Macaca fascicularis: one gene and its partner. The protein of the gene in region 2 interacts with the protein of the main gene of each other region in a biochemical or structural test. Links are inferred from orthologs where the notes say so. Each region holds a gene or a part of one and is shown on either strand. Other genes may lie near its edges.

What was found.
Region 1: the proteins of PARD3 (region 2) and JAM2 form a complex in vitro, tested with the Homo sapiens proteins (2 studies listed by BioGRID and IntAct, with this or other methods). The link is inferred for Macaca fascicularis from reciprocal best matches to the Homo sapiens genes PARD3 and JAM2.

What each region holds. Positions count from the first base shown.
Region 1 is NC_088377.1:21,348,711-21,352,530, forward strand, and holds part of JAM2 (junctional adhesion molecule B), read right to left. Parts: intron 3,218-3,820; coding exon 3,110-3,217; intron 1-3,109. UniProt on the Homo sapiens protein: Junctional adhesion protein that mediates heterotypic cell-cell interactions with its cognate receptor JAM3 to regulate different cellular processes. Plays a role in homing and mobilization of hematopoietic stem and progenitor cells within the bone marrow.
Region 2 is NC_088383.1:34,860,942-34,864,761, forward strand, and holds the end of PARD3 (partitioning defective 3 homolog), read right to left. Parts: intron 2,094-3,820; coding exon 1,700-2,093; 3' UTR 96-1,699; downstream 1-95. UniProt on the Homo sapiens protein: Adapter protein involved in asymmetrical cell division and cell polarization processes. Seems to play a central role in the formation of epithelial tight junctions. Targets the phosphatase PTEN to cell junctions.

The DNA of each region.
Region 1 (3,820 bases), on a different chromosome or scaffold from region 2:
GGGATAATAATATCTTTTTCAAAAAATTTACTTTCTAGGTAAGCAGACATAAGGCCATGTGAAAACATTTTGCTGAAAGTTGCTAAACAAACGTGAGGCAAAATTTGTAAGGTATTATCATATTAATTATTTTCTAATATTTAACTGACCTTTTTCTAATTTAACAAATATAAAAATTGCATGTTTTCAGAACTACAAAATTCAGTAGTTATACAAGGTGAATTAAGATAGTAAAGCTGGTCATAATAATGTTCATTCATGCATGTTTTTATTTTATTATATTAAGACATAATTATAAAAATAGGTAAAATTTAGTGAAAGCATTCCTATTTATTCTAGCTTAGGTGGTCTTGCCCATGTCAGTGGATTGTCTTGCACTGGCCACTGCATCAGGTACTCAGACAGTCATATGGCCCATAGATTTTTGTCAACCAGATTTGGCAATACAACTCTGACCTGTCAGTCCATATGCCAGATCAAGCATATTGTCAGTGATTGTGTCTAACCTCTCAAATATGTGCTTTTCAAAAATGAGGTGACAGAGCAAGCCAAGGCTCCCTGCTAGGCAACAAACCCATCAATATCTACGTTATTTTCAACCACAACATCTAGCAGAGAGTTATCCACGTTTCCTTTGTTTGTGAATGTTTCACTGTTGGTTTATAAAGTGGACTGTTATTTTATCTTCCGAGCTGCTCTGGGCCTTCACTGACATGTTTGATTTCTGGCTGACCCCAGTGCTCCCACCCCGTCTCCAAGTGCCCAGCTCCCTGGCAGGCTGTCACCTCCAGCGTGGGCCCTCTGAGGAACAGCTGCCAGCAGGCCTGGCCCCGGAGGCCCTTCCATATTATGTATATAAATTTTATTTTTTGAGACAGAGTCTTGCTCTGTTGCCCAGGCTGGAGTGCAGTGGCATGATCTTGGCTCACTGCAAGCCATTCTCATGCCTCGGCCTCCCAGGCATCTGGGATTACAGATGTGCACCACCATGCTGGCTAATTTTTGTATTTTTAGTAGAGATGGGGTTTCACCATGTTGGCCAGGCTGGTCTCGAACTCCTGGCCTCAAGTGATCCGCATGCCTCGGCCTCCCAAAGTGCTGGGATTACAGACATGAGCCACTGTGCCCAGCCCCATGTTATATTTTAAAGAATTCAGTTCAAATGCTTGCCTCATTCCCTTTCTAGTTCCCTTGTAAAAATATTCATGTCTTCAGAAAACCAGGGAGTCTGGTTTAATTGGCTGGAACAGTAACTTTATGTGTGGTGGCCCACGTAACACTGCGGCACAAGAAAAGGTGGTTAAAAACATTATTTTATTTTTTGATAGTAACATATTCAGAATTAAAATAGTGTTTTGCACCCGGTGTGGTGGCTTGTACCTGTAGTCCCAGCTGAGGTAGGAGCATCACTTGAGGACAGAAGTTTGAGGCCAGCCTTGGCAACATGGCCAGATCTCATCTCTTTAAAAAATGTAAAAATTAGGCAGGTGCAGTGGCTCAAATAGTTTTGCATAACGTGCACATGCCAGAAATGGCAACTACAGAAAATTCAAGTGAAGACAGCTGTGCTATTAACATCTTACAGCTAGTAGTCTTTATCTTGACATATAAGAACTCGAGGGGATATTTTAAATTTTCTACAAACTTCAAACATTTTCACTTAATTCTTTAACATTAAAGAAATACATAGTATTTTAAAATAATAACAGGTTTATTACACTTGTAAAATTGTATTTCCAGCTTTAGAAATATTTATAATGGAAAGATTCAAGCATACACAACATTAGAAAGTAGAGTGAATTGTACCTCAATGTATCATTGACCAGCTATAATAGTAATCAATGCAGGGTTTATCTTGTTTCATCTGTATCATTAACCACTGGTTTATTTTGAAGCAAATGGAAATTTGCTTCATCCATCATTATCAATGTCTTAAATTATAAGTTCATCACATATTCAATGGCAAGAGTTGGTAGTAGAAAGAAATGTATAACAAAAGAAAGAAAAGAAAAGAAAGTACTTGATAATGGTTGTTGTCACAACCCACTCTTAAGTCTTAACTCCCTAAGCTTCTCAGTGGTGGCCTGCCTTTCAAGATGGACTTAAGGAAATAGGTTGACAGCATTATGACTGAGAAGCAACCTTCCACTTCCAAACCACACAATTTTTTAATTCCTTTCTCTCAGGAGCCAGGCAAGTGGCTCACACCTGTGATTTCAGTATTTTTGGAGACTGAGGCAGGAGGATGGTTTGAGCCCAGGAGTTCAAGACCAGCCTGGGCAACATAGGGAGACCTCACCTCATCTCTACAAAAAAAAAATTAAATTAGCTGAGCATACTTGTGTGCACCTGTAGTTCCAGCTTCTTGGGGACTGAGATGGGAGGATAACTTGAGCTCCAGAGGTGGAGACTGCAGTGAGCCATGATCATACCACTGTACTCTGGGCTGGGCAAGAGAACAAGACCTTGAAAAAAGAAAGGAAAGAAAGGAAGAAAGGAAGAAAAAGAAGAAAGGAAAGAAAGGAAGAAAAAGAAGAAAGGAAAGAAAGAAAGAAAGAAGAAAAGAAAAAGAAAAAGAAAGAAAGGGAAAGAGAGAAAGAAAGAAAGAGAGAGAGAAGAAAGGAAAGGAAGGGAAGAAAGAAAGAAAAGAAACGAAAAAAGAAAAGAAGGAAGGAAGGAAAAGAAAAGAAAGAAAGGAAAGGAAGGGAAGAAAGAAAGAAGGAAAAGAAAGAAAGAAAGAAGGAAATAAGGAAAGAAAGAAGGAAAGAAAGAAAGAAAGAAAGAAAGAAAGAAAGAAAGAAAGAAAGAAAGAAAGAAAGAAAGAGAAAGAGAGTTTAATCTACAGAGCCAATAAGAGCAATTGCATTTTGCATCCTTTATGCCTGAATTGAGAAAGAAGAGTCCAGGGATTCAGTGGGCTTCACCTCCCTCTGTTCTCTGCTTTTGTGGCTATTGTGTTTTATGTCTCAGACGTGGTTGCTTTCATCTCACACTTACAAAAACACGTTTTCAGTAATCAGTCATGTCCTGATCTCATTTGTCAATTAAAGGATCCTGGTTGTACTTGGCATTCTCTTGCTCACACCTCTTCAAGCCTCCAGCTTCTTACCTTGAAGAGTCTGTTGATAGTAGACAAAGGAGACACTCCGACCCAGTTTCTTCCACTCTAATCTGGAGGAAACAGTCTTCTTTGGGGTTTTACAGGCTAAAATAGCCTCTAGGAACAACAATAAAAATACTTGTTTTTCTAATTGTCTCCATGAATTTATATTTTACTTAACTGAGTAACAACATTTTAAACATATTTAAATTACTCCTTTATAGTTTTATTCATTCATTCATTCATAAATTACTTCAACGGGTCCCATGTTGGCTCAATGCAGAGATGAATTGGAAGCCTTCTAGCTCTTCCACATAATAACTGCGTGACACTATGCTTATTTCCCTGGTTATCAAGTTTGAGTTTTCACCGGTAAAATGGGCTAGTATTTCACAAAGTTGTTGTGAGTCTTCAAATGCAATAAGATACGCAAAGCACACAGACTTGGACATAGTAAGGACTTAACAAATGGCAGCTATGATTAATTACGTATCTTATTATTCTCAGTCTCAGTCTTGAAGGAGTCTACCATCTGGTAGAAGAAGAAACTAAGATAATGGCATTTCAGCTCAGTGTTGCTGAATACCAGCTATGTAAATGGTGATTCATGCTTAGTACCCAAGAAAGGCACTTAATCCAGCCCAGGACATGCTGGGAAACCAGAAAAGTTTCAGCAACATGCTATATTCTCACTCAGATCCCTTCTTTGTCGACCTGCTC
Region 2 (3,820 bases):
TCTAAATATATTTTTAAAAAATCACATCTGTTAATATACCTTTTAAAAAACCCCAGCTAGGCAAGGTTGCCCAGGAACATCAGAGACACCAAAAGAACAGGAAGAAATATGCCTTTTATTAGGAGTCGCGTATGTACAGAGAAAGCTGTTTCTCACAGCTCAGGGGAGGCTGTGAGAAAGAGCCACTGTCATCCAAGGTCACTGCGCGTACACTGCTAACACCACTTAGACACGGCTGCACATTATTAAGAAAGAGAACCATGACACAGAAGTGTAGAAGAGACACAGGTATGTGTGTGGACACATCATTTCTAAAAACAAGTCAACACAAAAATACAATGTGCCAATAAAAAAAAATAGGCATATCCATACATGTCTTTTTTTCTGTTTTTAAAGTGAATACATGGTATACTGAGCTTTCACCTCCAGCTTTTTCCACCTCGGAATTCACAGGCACTTTGGCAACCCAGCCACGTTTACAATACAGGATGTTCAGAACGATGAAGGACGATGGGAGCCACCGAGGTCCCCGAGACCCACACACACACTCAAACACTGACGCGAGAGTGAGCTTCCTGCCACCGCCGCTGTGGGACCCGAAAATGTTCTCTGTGTGATGTGTAACGGCTTTTCCTTTGTCTTTCATGTTTCATGGCAGAATTACTTAGGAGCGTGGCATCGCCAGTCAGATATGCAGCGTGTGGATGCATTAGACAAGCATCAATTGCCTCTGACTTGAAAAACCGTAGAGAGCAGATCAAAATGACCGTCTGGTTTATCTCTGTCCCATTCTGTGCCCTTCCTGACAAGCTGTCAGAACGAAAACTAATGAAAATAATTACTGGGATGTACTGGGCCATGAGCTCTTCCTAGGAGAATTTATTTCTTAGCTCTCCCCTCCTGATAGACACATGGCCAATGGCATGCCCAGCTTCCCCCGGCAGGAGCCACTCCCGTCTCCCACGTTCCCCACACACAGCTGTGGTGGCTCAACCCACGCGTCAGGAACAGGACCGAACAAGCCTATGTATAAACGCAGACTAGGATCATCGCTTTATTGGTAATGTTGAGTTATAAGGCAGTTACAAAAGGACCCCCATGGTAACCAAACAATGTTGGACTATGGCTTAGCTTTGCAATAGGGTGACCGACTCTCCCGTCACAAGGAGCTGAGAAAGGAAAGAGAAAACCACACTGATGACAAAGTATGACAAACGGCTGTGCTGTGAAGTACCAGAAAGCCCCATTTTTTGGTGTATGTCGCCCACTTTTCCTCCTCCAGAGACTGAGATGTCATCTCACAGCTCAGAGAACTGAGAGGGAGAAACAGGGCCGCGCGTCATCCTCCGCGTCAGGTGAATTTGTCTCGCACGTGGTGCAGGGACGCTATAACCAAGCCGCGGACAGCGCATGAGTCGGGCCGAGACTCCCGGCACTGTGGAGAGGCGCACAGCATGTGAACGCCTCGAACAGATGATTGTCACAGGGTGGGAAATCCTTCCATGAAACAGACATTTGAGACATCGTGGCAAAGACATTAAGGCCTTCCATTTCTTTGCCTATACCGCTTAAAGGCACTGATACCAACAACAGAAATACTCCATAGTACCATCGAGGTTTTAAAAAAACTCCCAAAATACAAGTCTTCATAGGAAAATGTCTTTTATTGCGTGACATGAAGCATCCGTTCTTTGCGCGCTCAGGAGTAGAAGGGCCTCCCTTTCTCAGGAGTCTGAAGTCTGTTCAGCCTCGCAACCTGAGAAGGGGAGGGCGGCACATCTTGCCGGAAGGGCCCCTTGGGAGGGGCGTAACTAGGGTCCTGGACTTTCTTATACGAGTCATAGTTGCTCGGCCCCTCGGAAGGAGGCTGCTTCTTCATCTGCTGCTCCTTCCGCCTCTGTTCCTGGCGAAGGAGCTCCTGAGTTTCCAGCATGACCCTGGCGTTGAAGCCGTGTCCTCCCAGGTAGCCGTTCCTGGAGCCTTGGTAGCTGGAGTACCTGGGGTTCTCTTTGGCACTCTGGAAGCCTTCCCCGGGGGAGTAGTTCTGCTCCCAAGAGTCCTGGGAGACCGAGCTGGCGTTTTTCCTGCTTTGCCTAGAAAGCAAAACCAAAGGTTAGTGTGAGGGTGGGAAGAAGGAGGGAGAGGGAGGAAAGGGGGCAGGATGGGATGGAATATGCATTTTCAGGTTTCAATAAATATTCCTGTTCTCTCATCACATGCCAGACACTGTGATAGGGGCGGCTGGAGAATTCAAAAGTGACTGTCCTCAGCAAGCGCATGGTCTTAGACAACTAAACTAACAATGAGTAAACAGGAGAGAGAACTAGACTGTGCAGCTACTTAAAAAGAGAGTCGGCCGGGCGCGGTGGCTCAAGCCTGTAATCCCAGCACTTTGGGAGGCCGAGGAGGGCGGATCACAAGGTCAGGAGATCGAGACCACAGTGAAACCCCGTCTCTACTAAAAATACAAAAAATTAGCCGGGCGCGGTGGCGGGCGCCTGTAGTCCCAGCTACTCAGGAGGCTGAGGCAGGAGAATGGCGGGAACCCGGGAGGCGGAGCTTGCAGTGAGCCGAGATCGCGCCACTGCACTCCAGCCTGGGCAACAGCGTAAGACTCTGTCTCAAAAAAAAAAAAAAAAAAAGAGAGTCATCTTCCTGTGTCTGAGCAGGTTGTGTCTGTTCCGCTTAGGGTGCCAATATCTCCTGCAATTTAGACACACTGGCAAAGCAGAGAAGTAGTAGAGGTTTGGTAGCTTCCATGGTAGGAATAACTGCTCGCTTTAGAACATTACAATTCAATTCTAAACAAGCACAGCAAATATTTTACACAGCTGCCACCATAATGCCAGAAGCGCTAGCTAATATGAAGGACATGTAATGGATTACAATGTGGGTTTGGTTATGAAAGATTTAAGTCTAGACTTCTTTATGATAAAAAATGCAACAGGCAGTCCCTTAAAGCTCTGGCTTTTGAGTTGTGTGTGTCAGCAACTTACACTCTCCGGGATACCTGCTCATCGAGACTGGAGGGAGAGTCCGGAAGTCTGTAGAGTAAGCCCTATTTTCTTAAACATTTACCTTCACCAAAGGCCAGGGTAACCCACTTAACTTGCTTTCTGTCGCCCCAGGATAGGGAAGTAAATCAGAGTCATATGGAAATTTCAAATTCTTACCACTTCTGCAACAGGGTTGCGCATGATTTCCAGGAAACATTGTTGTTTTGAAACATCTTTAATTTACTATCAAGTCTCTAGATGGTTTTATGAATTTACAGTAAGATTGGCTATGATGAAGTAAAACAGTTCTGTGCCAGAAAGGAAGACATGCCCTAATTTTTTTGCCTTGAAAATGGAAGAGGGGAAGAGACAATTGAGTAATAAAACAAAATATATTGCTCCACTTATCAATAAGAAAATCATTTGGCGACAGTATGTATTGCTCAGCCCTTTCCATCAACATACACAACACGGCTGAACGTTCACAAAGACACTCATGGAAGGAAAAGAAGGTCCGGGAAGCCACTGCATCTCCCGCAGGAATGATGCAATTTGCATTTTTGAACATTCAGAATTGCATCAATATGGTTTGGAGGGAAATCCACCCATTTTCCGTATGGCCTAAAATGTAGTCGGAAACATTTTCAGTAAGGAAAATGACCGTAATGTCCAGCATCGCCTCTGGCTATGACGATGACTGCATGAGCATTCCATAGCATGTCTGTCTGGGTCTCTTTTGAGGGAAGACTGAACCATTTGTACAGTCAGCCCAGGTAAGAATCCTTAGATGTGATGGAATAGTTTATTTGCCTAAAGCACTGATT